Linked DNA regions of Caenorhabditis elegans. The protein of the gene in region 2 purifies or fractionates together with the protein of the main gene of each other region. This does not show direct contact. Each region holds a gene or a part of one and is shown on either strand. Other genes may lie near its edges.

Region 1 (5,791 bases), on a different chromosome or scaffold from region 2:
TTTATGTGTATCCATTGCTCATTGCCAGATTGATCATTCAGATGCATCGAAGAATTTGTGTTCGATTACTCTCATCAGCAAGATCTCATTAATTTTGCAGAATAACCTATGTTGCGTTGTATGTTCTTCGTTTTTAGCTTTTCGCTTTTTGGCAAGAAGAGCCCGTGACGTAAACAAGACCTCACACGAAGAATACTTTATGAGTTGTATGGGTGATGTTGGACGCGCACGGCGATCAACTCTTCAGGGCTCATTTATTTACTGTTTAAAAGTTTGAAAACCAAAGTTAGACAGTTGGAATGATCTAGAATAATGAATAGCTTCTTTGGTCTCTATACGTCACACATATATTTCATTTTTTGGTGGATCTACAAATGGAATAATCTAATCGGATTAAGAATGGAAAGCAATAATGGATGTCAGTTAATCCGGCATTTATACAATCAAGATGAATGGGTATAATCAGAAGATTTACCTACGTCGAAGGAGCCTCTTCATGATATCTGAAAATAGTCGGCTAACTTATAGTTGGGAGAGTATGTATACCATAGTCTTTGTTCACTTTTTCTTTCAAATATTCGTAAGCAATCGATCATTTGAAGATTCTGGGATTATGGAACAACTCAGAATACTGCAACGTTTCTCATCTTTATTCAGTTCGTTTGTTCAATTATCAGAAATGGTCATTATCACGGGTTCAAGGAAGAAGAAAATCAGGAATTATTCAAAAATGGGGATTATAGGAAAAGAAGACTGGCGACATCCCGACGAATAGCATATTATTGGACGAAAGGATTCAGGAATTAGTAGAAGACTTCTGGCATCGGGAGCTTATTGAAATCGAGGAAGGTTGTAAATCCTTTTGGTAGATTGCAACCGTCTCTTTTGCACAAACAACGTAGGCTGACCTGAGATGGATGGTTTGCAGCGTGGAATTGGAATGCCTGAAGTGATTTTATATAAGAAACCGATTCCTCCAATTATATTAAGCCTGATAATATTGAACCTACCTCTTGTAGACAAACGTTGATCACAGCGTGTCCTGGGATTGGATTTCCGTACATGGCCAAGATGTTGGTGTAATCATCGGAATCCATTTGAACTCCATTGACGTAGTACTTGTTGTAGTCCTTTGGGTCTGGCATGTAGCTACACAACTCGTAGATCGGCTCGCTCATCGTGTATCCTTTTGATGGATTGTTGACATCAATCGGCTCCCAGCACCGAATGCTCTTTGTGAGTTGATCGTGAGCATCTTGAACGGTGTTCTTAGCAGTTGAACGAACACTGTAACCCGAGGCCAGGACGAGTGAAGAGATGAGAATAACAGTTGGAGTGTTCAACATGTCGACCGTTTCAGTGAGATCGAAAAAAAGAGATCGGCAGATGTCCGAGTGACTCGAAGTAGTGATTAGCCCTACTGCCAACTCTGTTTATATGATGAAGCTGAAATGGGCGGAGTCAGTTTTTTAGTAACGAAAGGCGGGCTTTGAACAGAGCTGGAAAATAGGAAAAAGGAGGTGGAAAAGAAAAGCTGAAGATCAGGAGGTGTTTTTTAGAAACATGTGACAGATACGGGTGATAATGTTAAGATAAATGGTCAGCTCATGTTTTGATTAAGTTAAAAGTACATAAGGATCAAGGGAAGAATGCCAAGTTATGTCATATAGATAGTAAGGTTTTCAGAATGAGGAGATCGGAAAAAAATAACACGGATATCCCTTTATTCACTAATTGGGGTTTTTGACGTGTACTTATTTCACTAGGGCTGTACAAATCGGCGTCCGGTCGTCCGATTTTGACACCACCGGACGCACTGCGTCCGGTTTTGGGGTAGGTTTCCACGGCGGCCGACAATTTCCGAGTTTCGCCACTCACTATACTTAATCAGCAGTTTTATAGTGAGTGGCGAAACTCGGAAATTGTCGGCCGTCGTGGATAGCTACCCCCAACCGGACGCATGTGCGTCCGGTTCGGACGACCGGACGTCCGGTTGTACAGCCCTATATTTCACCGTACCAAACAGGGCGCCATTTGAGATCATTCTACACAGTGCGATCTTCCCTACTGTTGATCAGAACTCTTTTTGACTCAGCGATTCGGTGTTCTTTTGCCTCTTGACGTGAATGATTTCAGTTAGCCTCTACTAATTAGTTATCCGCATCGCTACCAGCACCAAAAATATTTCTGAACTCTTCTGTTTTGTGAGCCACAACGTTGACTCATTATTTGAACGACCAAATTTTGGAGTTAAAATTTTTTTAAAGACAATCTGCACGTTTAGTGATTGATCTACCACGCCTTATGAGGTGATCATTTGAATGTTTGCCAGTAGCTTTAAAGAGACATTTGATAAAGTATAGAAGATCAACAAATCGTTTTGTACTTTTAAATATGTCTCACTTCAACGAATGTAACTTTTCTAGTCGGCATTCCCATCCGAAAAAAACCGAAAAGTCCGAGCTCCCGGGCGTCACTGTTAATCTCAATTTAATCCTAGTGAATCTTAAAGTGTCCAGGAACCACACAAAATGAGGAATCCAATTTTCAGCGTGAAAATTTCAAATTTTTGAGAGGTGTGGAAGTGGCACATTTGCGTGTGAAGAACGCTTCTGAAAATGATTGAATGGTCACGAAGATGCTCAAAAAGAAATTTAAAAAAATGGCAAAAGTACATCTTGTGCCCTTTGCACTTTTCACCCAATTTCTTGTTCTGATTTCATTATTGACGTCAATAAAGGAAGAAGGACCCTTGTCAAATGACCCTATATCTGGTATCATTCTGACTACATTTTGTTGCAGATAGATCTGACCTGTGAAAAAAGTGGAAGTATTTAATATTCTGTCTTGTGATTTTTGAGCTCAAAACCCCAAGTGTCCACAGTTTCAGAAACTGTCGACTAGCTGGAAAAAGGAAGAATAATGCCTGTGAATAATAATAATGATTATTATAATACGTCAAACGAGACAGTTTCCTTTCAAATCAACATGTCTACGATATGAGAATAGGAAATTGAATCACTTTATAGGATTACAGTAAAATCCGATGTATGAGAGGAGAACAACAAAACAAAAACCACGCAAAAACTGGCTTAAAGTAGACTTATTCTTATGGGAGGCAAATTTTATAAACCCGCGCGATTTGGTAGATTACTTTCTAAACAAAATCTCCGAGTCCAGAAATTATTTTTTTTGGAGATTAAAACTAATATATGTTTATTTTCCAGCGATTCGACAATGCAGTCCAAGAATGCGATTTTATGAATAAATGGCCAGGCTACAGTCCGTCTTCAATGCGAAAAGATCTGAAAAAGTTGCATGATTTGGTGAGTTTCAACAGAAATGCTTCGACCACACTACATTACTCAACATCACTACAATTTTCCCACGTTTACAAAAAATTTACTAGAAAATTTGGTCTTTCGTGTGATTCTTCTACAAACTATAAGTGTGACTTGTTTCAAAGAACGACAACTTTTTCTTTGAGTTTTTAGTTTGAAATGTCATGTATCCCGGTTACCGGAAATGCTAAAGTTATCAAATTTCATGAAATTCAATTATAAAAATTTGGTTTAATTTAATGTCCGGTGGCATTTTAATAAACTTTTGATAGAATAGTTTAGTTAAATTACATTTAAAAAATGAATAAGTAGAAGTATAGATAAAAATACCATTGAAACATACTAAACATGCTAAAAAAATTTCCATAAAATTTCAATCTGAAAGTTTTTCAGTTCATTTTTCTCAGATTTTGGGTAGAATTTCCCCAAAACCGGGCTTTTCAGATTTTTGATTTCCACTCAAATCTGCCAAAAAAATTCTTATAAAACAAACACATTGTTTGCATTGTTTGCATGCATTGTTTTTTTTCTTGTATACATTGTTTTCTAAAATGTTGGGGAAAAATTGATTTTCGTCGATTTAATTTTCAAAATCTGAAATAAAGGTCGCTGGCACTGAACTTTTTTAATGTCGTGATTTCCGACGATTTTCTACGCTCAGCATGGCTTCTTTGTTTCCGGTAGTTCACTTTTTCTTTTTTAGAACAATAGTTTAATTATTCCTAGAAAAAGAATGAATTTCTACGAAAACAAGCCATAGTTCAAATTGATGTTCAGTGATGTTAGATGCTGAAGGACTATGCCTACGCAAACGCAACTTTATAAAATCTGCAATGATCTGACCAATCTTACGATTACTTTCAAATCATACATCGACACCATAATTCCATTCATTTTCCAAATGTTTCAGGCATCAACTGATTCGTTATCCGGACTTGAAGAAGATCACCATAAAGCCTACCAAGTGTTGATGGTTCTCGAAGCGAAGAGAGCGTATGACGAACGACTTGCTGGACTTTTCTGTGAAGATTGGTTCAATGTGGACAGTCCTGCAGACATTTTCAAGATTCTCGTTGACCGAGGAGATGACGATTTACCTCCAAAGGTATAGATATGGAATTTGGAATATTTGAAATGCGCGCAGACTAATTTGAGCGGTTAAGCCGATGTTCGCCGACGAATTTAGAGGATTTTGAGAGCTTGATAATATTTTAGATTAATTTGCAAGTTTGCCTCTGTTGAAATAAGAAAGTTACCGTATGTTACCGTATGGGACAAGTAAATTTCGTGTTACTTCCCAAGACTCAAAATTCCCCCTAACGGCACGTGGTGTCAGGTTGTCCCATTACGATTTGATCTACAAGGGAATTTTCCCAAAAAAAGTAACGTTAGCACGCTCTGAACCATGCGAAATCAGTTGAGAAGTCTGCGTCTCAACTCCCGCTTTTTTGTAGATCTACGTAGATCAAACCGAAATGGGACACTCTGACACCATGTGTAATGGCCAAATTTAGGATAAAAACTAAATTTCATAATTATCCAACTTCATTCATCGTGTTTTGAATATGTTGAGAATTATGCAAACATTTTGAGAATTTTCCAAAAAATACCTATTTTAAACAGAAATCTCGGTCATTGCAATGTCTTTTCGTTGGCTATTTTTCCATGATATCTGAAAAGACCAGCTTCATAAATACTGATGCTTGTTTTTCCACCTCCAATACGTTTCTAAGTATACCTTCAGCATCATCACCCTAACCTCCCAATTTTTTTTTTCAAATCTTGCAAAAATGTGGGAGTTGGTTATGACGCTTATCCGGTGACAACGCAGGAGAAAAGTCGATTCTGACCGCATTTAAAAACCTTTTACCAATATTGCCCTTTTGAATATTTATAAATTTGCACCAAAAATTACATGAAATCACTTTTAAATTTAAGAAATCTGTGATCTGAAATCACTAGGATAATTTTTAAAACGAAATGAAGCTGATTCATAAAATATAGAACTCTTGTGCACCTATGATGTAGCCATCAAATCAGAAAAAGCAGTTTCTTGTTTTTTGTGCTCATCAAAATCAACCAGATGTACTGCATAATCTCGAACTTCTTTTGTTCTTGAATTGTGATGACACAACGTTTTCTTTGTTATCATAAGATTTATTGTTTTATACTAAGAATAAATTATTACGTAGGCAAGAATACTTTACTTTATTGAAATTCGTTCCAAAGCGAGAGCTTTTAGAAATTTGAAGCGTTCTTGGAAAATGACCAACTTTTGAATTAGATTAAATTATGTTTTTTTTTCTCTCACAATTGAGCAAAATGATCAGTTTTTGTTAGATTTCATGGATCTTTCAAAACATTTACAAAACAAGTGTGACGATGTCTCACAGCGTCATAAGAATGATCAGGCGAATTTTGCACAGTTCATTGAAACTGGTGGGTTAAGA
Region 2 (8,514 bases):
TCTACAGAGTAAAAAACAAGCATTCGAGGTTGAGGTTTTCACATTTTTATTATGTTGTTCGTCTTGAGTAATACTTCAAATTTCAGCATGCAAAACCTTTCACACTTCATTGCTCACTTTTGATGCTCGTCCTTCTGTACTCATTTCTTGGTGGATTTATATTCGATCGCATCGAGACCAATGCACACGCCGAAATGAAACGCAATGAACGGATCAATAGAACAGCGTGTGTTTCTCAAGTAAGTCCTTTTTTGTATGTTTTGACTCATTCCTAATTAAATTGTCGCGCCACAAAAGTGTGCTACATATAATTTAATAAAAATTATGGGAATCTCTCGTTCTTTTTTTTACAGATTCTGCATTCTATTCACAGATGGAGCCATAATCAAACACACAAAGTGCAGTACGCAGAGGATATCGCTGATTGTTTTGAGCCTGAAAAGTGAGAATAAAAATAAATGTTCACAAAACACGAAGATCTTTGGAACAGTATTGCTGTAACTACAACTATGAAGACATTAACTGAGCGCTTTAGAATTTTTCATGTTGAAAGTCCATAAGTGGAATTTTGAACAAATTTATCAAAAAAAGTTATGACGGTTCAAATTAAACCAAGAACATTTTTAAAAACAGAGTATGGTCAGTGTGTCAAAATTTCGAGGAATGTGGACTTTTTGAGTAATTTTAAACATAGCTGCATGTTTGAACGGCAAAAATGTTTGAATAAAAACAAATTGAACGAAAATAAAGTATTAAACTCCTAGAAAATCTTTCTTTAAACTTCCAAAATTATGATATGTCTGAGGTTTGACAACTTTCTGGCTGCCAAACGAAACATTTAGAAAAATTTTTAACTTTTTAGTTTAGTGTTTGAATATTTCAGCGCTAGAAGAGCAATTTAAGTCGTTTTTCTACTGGAGATTTTCACCTTAAAGTGCTCGTTTTCTAACAATATGCAATAATACTTTTTTTGTTAATTGGTTTGATGAGAATTCCAAAAAAAAAAAGTTTTTTGTCCAATGTTAAAGCACGAAAAAGTTAAAAAAATTTCAGAGACGAAAGAAGCGAATGGAATTTTGTAACTGCAACGTTATATGGTTTTGGCATTGTCACAACATTAGGTACATCATGATTTATATACTTGCACCCATTTGGTTTTAAGGGTACAACAGAATTGCGCCAATAACTTATACGGGAAGAATGTTTTGTATCGTTTATGGCATTTGTGGTATACCAGTTACAATGATCATCATTGCAAATGTTGGCCAGTACCTGAACAATTTTGCAGGAGATTCGAGACGCAAGGTCACTTGTTTTTTAATTTTTTTTTAAATTCCAAGTTCTATTTCTAGATAGAAGCCTACAGGCAGCAGAGACGAATGTCAAAAGCTTCATTGGCCGGCAAAATTTACAAAGAATCTTCAATCCAAGTCACATCGTTAGCTCTTCTATGTGTCTTCTTAATATACGTGGCAGTTGGTGCATTACTATTGCCATTGTTAAATGGAGAACTCGACTTTTTCAACGGACTTTATTTTAATTTTTTGTGTTTAACTGCGATAGATTTTGGGCAACTGGTTCCGATTCGGGTTGAGCTGCTACCAATAACATTTCTGTATGTGTGCATTGGATTGGCGATTACAACAATTGCTATCAGTTAGTTTTTAAACACTTGTGAAAATTATCATCGTTTTTTGTTTCAGATATTGGTTCTGAATATATGAAAAAACTTCACTACTGGGGCAAGAAAATGAAGAATGCCGCGCAGACAAGAATTTGGTTTGGTGGAAAAACGTAATTTTATTTTTATTTTTGAAAGACCACATTAGTTGAATTATGTTAAAATTTTCAGTTTAAAAGTCAGAGACCTCCTTCATGCAGTGGGTAAGAAATGTGGCGTAGAACCAGGAATGATTGATGCATTGGATTTGGAAAATGTTGTAGAGCGGACAATTGCTATGCAGGTTTTTTTTTCAAATTTTTTTTGCTCATACAAATTTTAAAAGTAATTTTTCAGGAAGGACGGGAGCCGCCCGAGGATTTGAACGATGAGCCACCACGTGAGCCATCTCCTCGTTCAATCATTCATTCACCGTGTTCCACAAGACCATCGAATCCTCCAATGAGCCCACCATCTCCACGAGAAGACCACCCATTTATATTCAAAATGTACTGCAAAGCCAATTTATATTTCTGAATCTCTCATTTTGAGTGTTCTCTTTTTTTCAGGGATGCTCCTGCTCCTCGAAGCCCATTACCATTGCCGGCATATGAATTGGATATCAAAAAGCCGATATTTCAGGCATTGTCCAATGAGTTTATGAACCAATCGGCGCAGGAGAAGTTGTTTAATGATCTCGATACTTTTCAAATTGAAATTAATACTGAGCTAGTTGAGGATCATAAATGTGAAAGTGTTATCATTATTGAACCACCAGCAACATTTGAAGACATGACTATACAACACAGTCTTTGTGTTGAAGATTATGAGAGGGAAGAAAAAGGTTATTGATTATTCGATGATTGTTTTATTATCAAATCAACAAATTTCAGTTCCGAAACGATTCCGCGAAAAGAAAGAAATGTATGGTCGAGACCCGCGTAAACTGTATGAAACTTATCAAGAGGAATGGGATAGATTGGAACGGTTATCAGATAGGAAGTAAGTTGATCAGATTGATGGACTTCAATGACAAAACCAATTAAGGCACGGTCCGAGAAGGAAGTCAGTTTTGAACTTATCAAACTGTTCACCGGAACGAAGTGTTTCCCCATCTCCGATCAGGCATTCTTTAACTGGGGAGGGCCACAGAAGAGATTCGTAGTCCTGCGAAGAGTTTTACAAATTGCCGCAGATTTTGTATTTTGTTTAAATAAATAATGTATACATATTATTACTGCATTTTTACAAATTTTGATTTTCAGACCAATGTGAAAAAACTAGTTGAACATATATTCCGTTGATACACAATTTTGCAAATAGAACAGAAAAAGTTTTATTTCAGAAATTTCGAGTTCCAATTATGAATTTATAATTTTTTTTTGAGGGCATATTTTGAACTACTGCCTAACTGCTGTGGTAATTTTAGCAATTATCAAAGTTGCTGACTGCCGAAAACGCCAATTGTCCAAATGTTTGTAATTCTATAAACTCGTGGAGTTTAGAGCTTCGGATATTTGAATATTTGGGGCAATTCAAGTTTGAATTCTTTCTCAAACTAATAAATGGAATAAAGTTTACTGCGCATGATACAGTATTAAATATCGATATTTTAGGTAAAAGCCGACAAAACTACAATTCCAAATAAATATTAGAATAACTGTACTGAATATTTATTCAATTGTCAAACATAAAACTTACTCCCAATCCAATTATTTCAATTTTATTACTGGCAGAAATTATTTCAGAGATTCCCATAAATCACAGTAGGTTAAAATATAATTTTAAATACATTAAAACATTAAACAATTTAGATCGAATCAAGTTGAACTTTTGATACTGCAGCTTTGTTAACAGTGTAAAGAGTTGAACCGTCAAAAATATGCTCTCCCTCTTCGACAGTTTGAGGAAGTTGGACCCACTCCAAAGTAGACTTATCGTCAAAAATGTTTCCTTTGAGAGCCCAAACGGCTCCGTAGAAAGCGCTTCCCGTCATTCCTTTTTGAACACGGCCACCAGCGACAATGAAAGAATTGGTCTTCTTGTCAACAAATGAGCAGTTTGGACCAACGAAACCGTATTGGGGAAGAGAACTGTACTCTCCTTCAATATCAACATGACGAGCTGTTTTTGATTTCAAGTCAAAAACGAAGAAACGAGTTTTCTCCCAATTGAATCCACATCCATGAACAGCGTAGCTAATGAGCACTTTGTCATTGACAGTCTCAGCAATTACTGGAGATCCTCTCTGAAAACAATTTTTAATATTATAAAATTCTTGAACAATCTTCGTTACCAAATGGTTGTCATCAGAGTGAATTTGCGAGATGTTTTCGACAGTAGAAGAAGCTCCATTGACAGTGAGAGAATAGATTTGAATGTGACAATTGTCGTCTTTGAGAAGAAGAATAGTTTCACCATTTGAAGAAGTTCCAGCAGCAGCGATAACTTCAAATCTTTGAGTCTCAGTGAGGGTTTTGGTTTCTGGGGCCTGAAAAAACATTGTGGTGTATATCTAATAAAGGATGATGGTTCGAAAAAAAGTCAATTTCCAAAGCTTGTTCATATGCTGACAGTCTATGGGTCTATACGTACACTTTAGGTTTATATGTACCATATCGAATTTTAAACTAAAAAAAAAACTTACAGAAGTAATACTTTAAATTAATTTTGAAACAAAATTCTAATCACAGAATCACTCACATTTAACAAAACCTCATTGAAAGAATTACTATCCCATCTGAACAACTTTTGGAATCCAATTGCTCCAAAATTGACAAAAGCGAGAAGATAAAGCTGATTGTCACGAACAAACAACACTTCTTCCGAGTTTTCTTCGCTTACGAGCTCCGGGAACTGAAATTGTTTAGGTCTGAAATGACCAGGAAAACAAGGCAAACTCACATCATGTCTCTCCCATTTGTTGGATTCCTTATCAAAAGTCAGAACGTAAGTTCCTGCAAAAGCCACGCGATGTCCCCAGTTGTGATTTGGTTGAGCGACGTCTAAACAAGAAAATTGTTCTAAATTTGAAAAAAAATGTATATAAATGCTCACATTTGCGCCCCACCAAAGTCAACTTTCCGTCTTGAACGAACGAATAGTGATATTCGCATAGCTCTCCGTTGTTTCCAAAACCTTCAGCAATTTTCTCAGACATGATCAACTGAAAACATACATTTTAAATCAAAAAGAATTAGTACAAACATCTGAATATAACAAAAACGGAAGAAAGTTTATAAACGCGGCAGGTGAAGTCGGAAACCAGGAAGTAAAAAGAGAAAAAGGAAGATGTTCTGGGCAAACGGCCAAAGGTTGAACTCAATTCGTTCTTCTATAGAATTGACGGTTCAAAAAGACATTTAGACATAGAAGTCCTTAGAAGATTTCTAGAAAACTGGTTGCAAAACATATTCGCAAAACATTACGAAACGACTCTTTGCCGAATAAAATGAAAAATTTATAGAACATAATTGGACATATAATATTTTATGTGAGGTTTCAATAATATATTCTCAACAACTCAAAAGAAAACACATCCAAAAATCGATAAATGCGCAAGGTGAGAGGCAAAAATGGCTTAGAGAGCGGTGTATTTCTATTGGGGAAGTCCAGTTTTATACGTGTTGTTTGCCAGGTGGCCAGTGACTCATTGTGGGAAAATTGGGAGAATAAACAATATTGCGAAATCAAATATTCTTCATGAAATTTCCATGGAAAGAATGAACACTGTCGGAAAATATTGTTATGTAATTCTCACAGTGAACAACAACACGATTGTCCAAAAAAAAACTTTATTCATAATACTGCAAAGAAGGGTGAAAGTGAATCAAAATGGAACTTGACGTATTTGGTCAATAGCAGTAGTATTTGCTGCGAACATTTACGGGGAATTTGGTATTTGCTTTTGTCTGTGTACTGTAAATACAAAGAAGTTTTGATCAAAAGTAGAAGTACCTACTTTAAAAGTGGTAAATCTGAAAATTAAACAGTTTGATGTCTTGTAGGCTACCAAAAAACATCAGTTATACAGCATAAATTATGTTATTGTACTGAAAATAAAACATTCGAGCACATTGTTAAATCATAGCTAATCTTTATTTCGGCAGTGACCAAAATGGATATCCTCTGATATTTTCAAAGCTGCGGACTTCTGAATTTTCGAAAAAAAAAATTCATTTTCAAGAATATACAGATTGCAGGTTTTATAGATTTTGAGACACAAATTTATGTCAAACAGTGTTTTTTTAAAGCTCAATCAATTTAGACTAAATACGCAATTACCATAATTGGAAACCAGGCAGTAAGGATCTGGAACGAGAATCCCAATTTCTAATTCCTCTGAAATTAAATTCAATGTTTTGTTCTAAAGACAAAACTTTGGCTTATGTTGGTTTTTCGCTATAGTGTCAAAATATTTGAATATCATAGTAAAAGTTTTCAAAATTTTTTTAAAGTTTTCATTTACTGTCGAAAAGTGACAATCGCACGTGGTGTCAGAATGTCCCATTTCGTTGTGATCTACCAAAACTGCGGGAATTTAGACGCAGACTTCTCAACTGGTCTCGCATGGTTAAGAATGAGCTGACGTCACATTTTTCGGGGAAAAAATTCCCGCATTTTTTGTAGATCAAACTGTTATGGGACAACCTGACACCACGTGCAATCGCTCAGTTTTTGCACTCATAACTTTGGAAGTCGACCAAAAAAAAAGTTCTACGATTTTTATACTTTAAATTTGATTTAATTATTTGTTGTAAAACATTTTAGGGGTTAGAACATGCAATATTGCTCTGTGTTTCCTCAAAAGCTCTTTTTTGTTATTTGGCAGATTGCTAAAACATTAAAAAAATCTAAAATTTTCTGGTTGGTTTTATTATAATCTCCGATTTTTTTCAAAACATAAACATAGTTCAAATAATGGAACAAATCTATATTGTGAACAAAAGTGAGGAAAAATTTTATAAGTTAATGTTGTAACAATAAAGATTACAAAACTATTTCCAAAGTTTGTCTTCTCTCAGATATTTTTTGTTTCCATACACTATTTTAGTGCAAAGAGCAAAAAAATTTTCAACAAAGTTTCTGAGAGAAATTCTAGAAAATGTTACTTTGGAGTGATTTGGGAATTTTTAAAGTTTTGAAAATGTACCATATTTTGCATGTAGAATGCCACATTTTTTATCAAAAATGAGCCTAATGTTTTGAGAATTTTTAAAAAATCCTTTCGATGCATTTAAACATTTTCTATCAGGTTTCTACTTATATCGTGTTATCGTTTACTTTTTCCTTTTCAATTTGAAAAACCAAAGACATCACTTTTGTTATTCTCTCTACTTTTTCTTTTGAAGAACCTTGATTCGCAGGACATGTTTCAATGAAGTCGGAGAAGGTAAGAGAAAAGTGACAAGTGGTCTACAACGTTTGTTTTCAATTTGCGACACTGCACGCACAAAAACGCTCCGTTGAGAACCGATTTGATCTTGCTCTACGGCGTACAGTTTTGTGTTGTTATTATGTTGTTTTGATGTTGTTTCGATGGTCCGTCAATATCGACTGTCCTTCACAGTTAGTCTTCGAGCGGTGGTCTCTTGTGTCGCCTTTTTTTCTCATTTGTCCTCCCCCCCTTTACCACTGCGCAAATAGATTTGGGATCTAATGTATGTAAGTGCGCTCTACCGCAATCAATGGGTTTCTCCAAACAAATGCCCTTGCCATTTGAGAAACGAAACAGAATCTCTTGAAAACATTTCTGATAACCGATTCGTTTTAGTTTTCTACAATCAACTTCAAAGAATAATCATTATCTATCGATTCACTGATATAATTCTCGTGTTGTGACCTTATCAATCGACAAACAAGTCGATTACTCTGAATGTTCACATCAAAAACTCCTCACCCGTATTGCCGGCGTTAAAGTGAAAATCTTGAAACGATGGTAAACTATTATTTTTTGTTTTGTTGCCTACGTGCTGGCCCCCGACGTGTCCATCTCTATCTCTCTTCCCCGTGACCGTGGTGTGCACTGCTGCCGGGCGCGTTTCTCCCCGTCCTGTTCTCCTCACATCCCTTTCTGCGCGCTGCAATCTTCTAAATGTCACGCACACAGCAAAGTTGCACTACACTTGTTGGGACCTTCTTCTCTCCGAGCATTGACCGCTCAGTTTTTGTCCTCCCTTTTTCTCTTCTTACTCAAATTCTTTTTATTTTTCTTATCTACATTTGAAAAACGTTTCTTACTTTTCACTTTTTGAGAGCTTTGGGTATGTTGTCCCGATTTGCCCGTCAACTGGCGCTGCCAGTTTTCAACGGAGTTCTTCATGTGAGTTTATATTAGGAAATAAGTATAGGAAATAAGTTATAATGAACTATATTTTTCAGCCAACTCGAGCCACCAGTTCGATCGCTCATACCATCAAGGTTGCCCATAAGATCGATGAGACCAGAGAGAAAGCTCTTCTCGGAGGTGGAAAGAAGCGCGTCGACGCTCAACATGCTCGCGTAAGACATTTTTCCAAAAAAAAAAACCTACTTATATGAAAAAATTTTGCAGGGAAAGCTAACAGCTCGCGAACGCATTGATCTTCTTTTGGATAGAAACACCTTCAGGGAGTATGACATGTTTGCCGAGCACACCTGCAACGACTTCGGTATGCAGAAAGAGAAATATCCTGGAGATTCGGTTGTCACTGGACGTGGAGAAATCAACGGACGTACCGTCTTTGTTTTCTCCCAAGACTTCACTGTTTTCGGAGGATCTCTGTCATCCATTCACGCCAAAAAGATCGTCAAGATCATGAGAGAGGCCATGCTTGTCGGAGCCCCAGTCATCGGACTCAATGACTCCGGAGGTG
Region 3 (7,399 bases), on a different chromosome or scaffold from region 2:
AAACGCTGGACCACCAGGAACTCCAGGAGCTGCTGGACAACCAGGAGGTGATGCTGCCTACTGCCCATGCCCATCCCGTTCCTCAGTTGTTCGTGCTCAAGCCGCTGTTGCTCGCAACCGTCACGTCGCCGCTAGACATCGTTCGGTTTCCCGTAGAAAGGCAGTTGCCGCCAGAAGATCCAAGGCTCGTCGTGTTGTTGCTGCCAAGCACCGTGCCGTTGCCAAGAGACATCGTGCCGTCCAAAAGGCTTAAATCATTCCTTTTCAGTAATAAACATAGATTGCATTCAATTTAACATGTTTTCCAATATTTACAAGAAATTCGTAACATCAATACAGAAACCTACAAATTTATACTTGAAGGGGAAATTTTCTTGAATATATTCTGAAACGACTTGAAATGAGGCGCATTCAAATACAAGGTATGAAATAATGTAGTGTTCTGTTTGATTAAATTTAATCCAAGAGTCTACGAGTTTTGGAAGCGAAAAAACTAATTATTTGCAAAGTTACCTTGAAAAACTTAAACACCGTTTTCGCCTTTTTCGATCACTTAAAAAAGGAAAAATCTACATTTCTGCTGAAATTACATCCTCTTTATCATGTGGAAGAAAGTTATTATTAACAGTACCCAAATTATCAATTTATTTTTCAACAAGTAATCATTCAAACATCAATTCACATCAGTTTTCAATAAATGCGGAGATTTATCACTTCCTTTGATAGAATTATCACCAGCGTTGCTCATTTTTGCCATTCTCGATCCAAATTGCATTGCCTGTTTCGGAGCATCATATGGGGATCCCAACATTTTCACTGTCTCTCGGAGCAATTGTTTCTCTCCAACTCCACGTGGCAATGATAGATCCCATTTGGAATCGACTGGAAGTGCGTTGAGCCAAGTGACTACGGTATCTTCGAGAAGTGGAGATCTGAAATATAACAAAAATCATATTATTTTTTTTATTAGGAGATTTTGAAAACTTACAAAATGGTCTTCCCAAGTTGAGCAGCAACTCTAGCATCTCTTCCTCCATTTCTCGATCCCAGCCTTCGCAATTCATTTTCACATTCTTCCGCTACATTTTCTGGAATTTGTTCCTTCTCAAATCGAGTTCGATGCCTTGCGTATCCGGCAAGAAGTTCATCTGCTCCTGATCCCAGAAGGCATGTAGTTGCAGGTGACCTCACTGATTGTTGATTCTCACTATCAACTCCTTCGGCTCTGACAGCAAACCACAGAACACAAGACAGTGAGTCATCAAGTACTGAACTCGCTGGTTGAGCTGCATCTGAGATAGATTCTTTGCGATTCACTTCGAGGGTTTGGCTATCAACGTTGACAAGAATGAGGCGAAATTGGCGAGTTGGGTATGCAGTTCGAAATGATTCCAGCGCCTTTCTGGCACGTTTACGATCAGGTGCTTGTTCACATTCCTATAAAATATAGATTTATTATTCGATATTAAATTAAAATAAAAACTCACTTTCTCACTATTACCAAATGCCACATTAATTAGATCAATTTGCATATTCTCTGGAACACTTGAATGTACAACATGAGCAACAAATGTAGAATCGACACCTCCAGACAAGCATACTGCCACGTGGCTTTCATGATCTAAAGTTAGATGTTATAAAAGCGATTTCATTAGAAAAAACAAACAATTTTTCAATAGAATCTTAGTCGCATCGATAACTTTTTGAAAGAGATCTTTGGTATTAAATGAGTCAATTTCTCCTCCAGTTGATCTACTAACATTCAATAATCCATGTTTCTTGTTGACCACAATTCGAGAGATATCCGACCCAGAAAAGTAGCCATCCAATACATTCTGTAATGATATAGCATTTATTGTCAGAAATAAGTAATAAATGCCTAAGCATCAAATATAGTAAAACTTTTAAAAATATGGAATTGTTTTTTCAACTAATTAATTATATTTTTATTTGTATTAGGTAGAATATCGTCCGTGGGGATTTTGTATAAATATCAATGTTTTGGTAATTTGTATTAAATTTGGACGTTTTGAAGAATTTCGAGCATTGTGGCAGGTTTGAACTCCTATTACGGGAACACAAAATTCTGAGAATGTGTATTTATTGCGAAAAAATTTTGACGCGCAAAATATCTCGAAGCGAAAACTACATCAATTATTTAAATGACTACTGTAGAGCTTGTGGTGATTTACGGGCTTGAAATTCGATATGATTTTTTTTTCGAATATCGACAGTGATTTTCAATTTTCGAAAAATTTTCCTTCGTTTCTTCGTAGGATTTTCTAATTTTTTGCTGAATTTTGATATTCAATCGATAAATAAAGTATTTTTGTCATTTCGAAAATCGAGCCCCGTAAATCGACACAAGCTCTACAGTAGTCATTTAAATAATTACTGTAGTTTTCGCAACAAAATATTTTGCGCGTCAAATATGTTGCGCAATATGCATTCTCAGGTTTTTCATAATAGAATGTTTGAAAAAAAAACCATACTATGATTAGAATTCAAAAATCGTAGAAAACCACTTTTTTACCGACACATCCGAAATTATAATGAAGAAAACGAGAATTCACCAATTCTTGCTTGAAATTTGAATTTTTTAAAAAGTTTCTATTCGGACATTTCAACACTTTACGAATTCTGAAAATTTTCCGAATTTCAGCAGTTCATCGGAAAATTTTCGGTTTTTTAAAAAAGAATATTCAGGCAAATTCTCCACTGGCGGTACTTCATATAAAATTGCACAAACCTCTGGATACTCGTCAAGATATGAATAAATAACTGGATCAGTTGAATCAAGACTAAAAACAGTCACTTGTCCGAATGGAATTTCAATCCATTTCCCAGATGTTTCTGGCTTTGTTCTACATCCAAAAATCATCGATTCGAAATTAAAAACCAAAGATTGTCTTCCAAAAACATCTCTTCCAATGAAAAGTTTTTTCAATTTCTGATTATAATAAATAATGCTCCAGGATCCTTGTTGCTCCAGAATTTCATTAACAATACTATTAACTGATCCATTTGAGAGTTTTGAAACATGAAGTTGTGAGGTGGTTCCAGAATAAACAAGATAATCTTCTTCAATCATTTTGATATATCCTTTTAATTCCTCGCCCAATGTTTCATCCTTTAAATGCCACCATCGATTGTAATCAATGCCCATTCTGAATTTCAGTTCTTTTTCCAAATTTCATAATAACTGGCAATAAGAAATCTCAGAATATTGACAGAAAAAAAAAATAGTTTCAAAGTCATTGCATTTAAAATTGGATAGTTTTATTACTACAAAGAATGAAAAAGACACTATCTCACAACATAATAGTCCGGGATATCGATTGAAGTAAATCATCATCAAAAAAAAGAAGCGGGAAGTGTTTTTGCGTTGAATCACAGAAAAAAATGAACTCGTTATTCTGAGGGTACTAGTACTCGAAACTATACAAGATTTTGAAGCAAAAAAAAAGAATATGAATAAAAATAGGATAAAGGCAACTGTGTGTCGATCGATAGTCGATAATTTAATAACCCATATGCTAAATGAAGACAGAGTGAAACTGGAACCAATAAATAAAATAAATATGGCTACTGGAGGGTGACGTGGCTATTCCACGGTGGCTTGTGGAATATTTTGAAGAAGGAAGAGTGTTTGATATGATTTGATTGTCTTGATCAGTTGATGTTCCAGTTGAGGATCAGCATGGCAGCAAGGCATCACATCAACAACCGATGGAAATAGTGAAACTAAGTGCGAGTAGAGTTCAGTCATTTTTGGATCTCTTGCAAGTCGTGCAATTAGTGAGTCAACAGCTTGAAGTGCAGATATGATTTCTAGTATTCTGGATCTAGGTAAACGAAGATCTCCAGCAGCAGACCAATCTTTGCAGAAATCAGACATAACCTAAAATCAGAGTAGTTTGTGTCTTTATCGGACCTATTTTTGATCCTACCTGTGTGCATCTTTGTAAAAGACTTGTCACAGCAACATTTCCAAGAATTCCTCTTCCTTCGTCTTCTTCAGTATTTGTATGTGCTCCATCAGATGACATCAATAGAGCATCAAAACAGGCCTTTGCCAGCTCATTTCGTTGAGTATGCGAGTCTGAAGCTGAATTCGAGGGTTGTTACCGAGTACACCGAAAACATGCAATCAGAATGGAGAAATGTGGAAAGGAATACCAACACCAACTAGTTTTGTGAGAAGTGTTAGAAGTAAAAAGAAGACGATTTCTCTCGAGCACTTACCAAGAACATCTGTAGAATCGATTTGTGAAATGGAGCCACGATGAAGTAGTGCAATCAGCCGTTGAACATCTTCTTGTGGTAAACGGGATGCATATGCGAGCATTTCACTTCGAATTATTTCAATTGCCTGACATTCCATTAGTTCATCACGTTTTCTTTCGTCTGCTGCCAGTCTCGTTGACTTGCTAGAACCGCAGCGAAAAATCAAAGATTAGAATTTTAAATTAATTGCATTTCTATTTAAGCTATATAAAGAGTGAAAAATTTAAAAATTTCCATAACGAAAATTACATATTTTCAATAAAAATATATAGTTTTCTTTTTTTCGTACATTTTTCAACACAAGTGTTTTTTTTTCAAATTTCTAACAATCGATGTTTTGAATTTCTCTGAAAAAAATTCGAAAAACCGAAAAAATTGAAGAATATTTTCGATTGAAACTATTGATCCATATTCAACATTTAGCAATTTCGCCCAAAAACTACGGTACCTGGTCTTGACACGACCAGTTTTTGCAAATACAAGAGACTATTCGTCTTAAAGGATTACTGTAGCTCACGATTTAAAAAAAATTCTATTCAAGTGAAACATAAATTTTAAAGGCAAACAACGCCGGGTTTGGAACGAAATACAGCTGTAGAAAAAATATAGAAATACTTCTAAAATTATTTTTTTTTAAACTAAAAATGCTGGTTTTTCGAGTCTCAAACAGCAAAAAAAATATTGCGAGCTTTTGCGATTTTTCCCTCAAAAATACAGTATGTGTACCTTTGAAAAATCAATTTTTTTTTGTTTTTTTTTGAATTGTAGTCATTCTCAATTTTTTTAAAATTTGAATTAGTTTGTAAATTTTGATGTTTTGATTTTTTTTTTCGAAATATGAGACTTGGAAAATGTATCTAAATGTTCTTAATTTATCTGAAAGTCATCGAAAAAGCTTTAATCTAAAATTAGTATGTATATTTTTGAAACAGAATTTTTTCGATAGTTCAGAAAATCAAGCATTTGAAAGAAAAGTTATTTAAATGTTTCTTTCGAATTAATACTGAAGAAGCCTTCTATTACACCTATACTAATTTTCCCCATGAGACTTTTTTTGTTGAAAATTTCCAAAATCAAATCTAAAATAACTTACTTTGGAGTAAAAAGCCATCTTTCCATAGTATCACAAATTGCAGACCATAAACCTCGAAAAACTTCTGGATTCTGACGAGCATATGGAATGGATGTTCTCAAGACAGACATCAGAGAAGTTGCAGCAAGTTTCCAAGTACTTGCAGAGATACAAGTGTACTTCATGTAAAGTGGTTCTCCGAGGAATTTTATGATATCAATAGCAATGAGCGAGTTGGCAACTTCTGGATTCTGTGATGTTGAAGTAAAGAATTCGATTGCAATTCGGAGAGAATATTCGGAAAATGGAACAATTGTAGTCAGGGCGTAGTCTCTCTGAAAATTTAAATTATTTATTCAAATTAAATAATTCTTTGCTTTGTTATACCCAACATGGTCTCAGAAGGGCGAATTTAAAAATAATATTTCTCAAAATTTCGAAAAAAGCCAAATTCTGCTAAAATCTTATTTTTCAAAGAAATTTATATTTTTCTTATTTTTTTTCTTTCGCATAACCGTAATACGATAAAAATTGAATGTTTTTGGTACCAACTGTGGTTACTTAATAAAGATTTTTTTTTCGATTTTTCGATTTTCCCAGCGAAAAAACAAAAATATTCCGTCTATCGATTTGTCTAAAATTGAAATTTTTTGACAAGCATGTAAATTAACGCGAGATCAACTAATAAAATATGTACGATTTTTGCGAAATTTCGTTTTTTTTTTGAAATTTTGACCTGTCATAATTGTTTTTGATCAGCACCTTTTTCGAAATTCGTGCACATTTTGAGTCCATACGAGCAATATTCCTTCAATAAAAAACACTTACATAGCTCTTCTGTCCACCAGGCGCAACTTTATTCGGAGAAATTCGTTGTGTTGCCATACTTGCAAATTTCAGCAAAAGTCGTATTTGATCCGGAATAGCGGCTCGCAGAGATGTTCCTGATAGTGTACATTCAACAAATACAATTTTAACAGCTTCCAAAAGAGCTTCCTGTGTCGGTGTCAGATGTGTAGTAGCTGATGGAAGTACAAATGGTGCTTGTTCTGATGGAATGGGTACATTCATCATACTTTCCAGTACTGCTGGCAGACTTTCATATTTTAAATCGTCTACAGTAATACTTTTGGCAACTTTGTCGAATAATGGAGGGAACACATGAAGAATCGCTGTGAGATGAGAAGGTCCGGGAACATAGATTCCTGGAGCAAGCGATGCTAACGAAGACGATGATGAATTCATTCTTGGAGTTGAAGAAATTGATTTCGAATCAGCATTCACTGAATTTGCCATTGCAGCACATCCTTGTCTAGCCAATCCTCTTGAAATTCTCAGCCAAACTTTCCAAGATTCAACCCATTGGGCTTGTGGTAACTCGGGTGTAATTGCATCAATAGTAGAATCAGATCCATTGCTTTTTTCATGACTATTTACATTCAACGTCTGTGATGAGATTTTTCCGAGTAAAACTTCCTGATAACTTCGAATTGCTGATAGTGATAGTTCGGCATTTTCGTAGCACGCAGCCCAATCCAAATATCCTAGAAATGCTTCCCAAACAGCACCAAAGTCATTCAACGCGAGCAAAGATTTTCGTTGAGAATTGAAAATTTTGGATATAGCAGAAATGGTATGAATGCATGTTTCCGTCCATTGCTTCTGTTCTGTATCTCTCGAATGATGCATTATCAGTTCTCCATTTGATTTTTCCGTAGATGCACATCTTGTCTGTGATCGAACTTTGTCAAGTAATGGAATCATTATCTGCCATATAACACTATGCCATGCAGCAGATCGAAGTGCATGTCCATGTGCTGTGACTGTTTGTAGAAGAGTTTGACACGCTGATTTTCGTACAGCAAAGCGAGAGTCTACACATGATTCGGAGAGGCACGTGTACAGTACCATCCACACAGCTTCGGAAGCATCGTTTCCAACGGATTCCATTTTTCGGTAAATGAAGTCGGAAATCGTCCACTGAAAATATTAGGATTAATTATCGTAAAACTTGAAAAAAAGTTATTGCGGTGTCGTCTG

Evidence for each region.
Region 1: the proteins of F52E4.5 (region 2) and droe-4 fractionate together in Caenorhabditis elegans (co-fractionation; one large-scale study listed by BioGRID). This does not show direct contact.
Region 3: the proteins of F52E4.5 (region 2) and M18.3 fractionate together in Caenorhabditis elegans (co-fractionation; one large-scale study listed by BioGRID). This does not show direct contact.

Annotation. Positions count from the first base shown.
Region 1 is NC_003283.11:13,988,317-13,994,107, reverse strand, and holds droe-4 (dietary restriction over expressed), read right to left. Parts: upstream 1,453-5,791; 5' UTR 1,347-1,452; coding exon 1,011-1,346; intron 945-1,010; coding exon 804-944; 3' UTR 632-803; downstream 1-631. Other genes in the region: ric-7 (CRAL-TRIO domain-containing protein), read left to right, coding at 3,228-3,326, 4,252-4,446.
Region 2 is NC_003284.9:3,082,512-3,091,025, forward strand, and holds F52E4.5 (Fucose-specific lectin), read right to left. Parts: upstream 4,835-8,514; 5' UTR 4,821-4,834; coding exon 4,718-4,820; intron 4,666-4,717; coding exon 4,565-4,665; intron 4,517-4,564; coding exon 4,364-4,516; intron 4,152-4,363; coding exon 3,957-4,151; intron 3,909-3,956; coding exon 3,471-3,908; 3' UTR 3,317-3,470; downstream 1-3,316. Other genes in the region: twk-16 (Potassium channel domain-containing protein), read left to right, coding at 87-239, 354-442, 1,054-1,121, 1,163-1,305, 1,353-1,656, 1,704-1,794, 1,853-1,964, 2,018-2,169 and 3 more; pccb-1 (Propionyl-CoA carboxylase beta chain, mitochondrial), read left to right, coding at 7,926-7,982, 8,042-8,161, 8,214-8,514.
Region 3 is NC_003282.8:12,101,626-12,109,024, reverse strand, and holds M18.3 (Asparagine synthetase domain-containing protein), read right to left. Parts: upstream 3,168-7,399; 5' UTR 3,167-3,167; coding exon 2,750-3,166; intron 1,836-2,749; coding exon 1,667-1,835; intron 1,622-1,666; coding exon 1,488-1,621; intron 1,438-1,487; coding exon 989-1,437; intron 933-988; coding exon 674-932; 3' UTR 632-673; downstream 1-631. Other genes in the region: col-129 (Nematode cuticle collagen N-terminal domain-containing protein), read left to right, coding at 1-253; mon-2 (Monensin-resistant homolog 2), read right to left, coding at 3,605-3,901, 3,951-4,108, 4,246-4,430, 5,381-5,694, 6,188-7,339.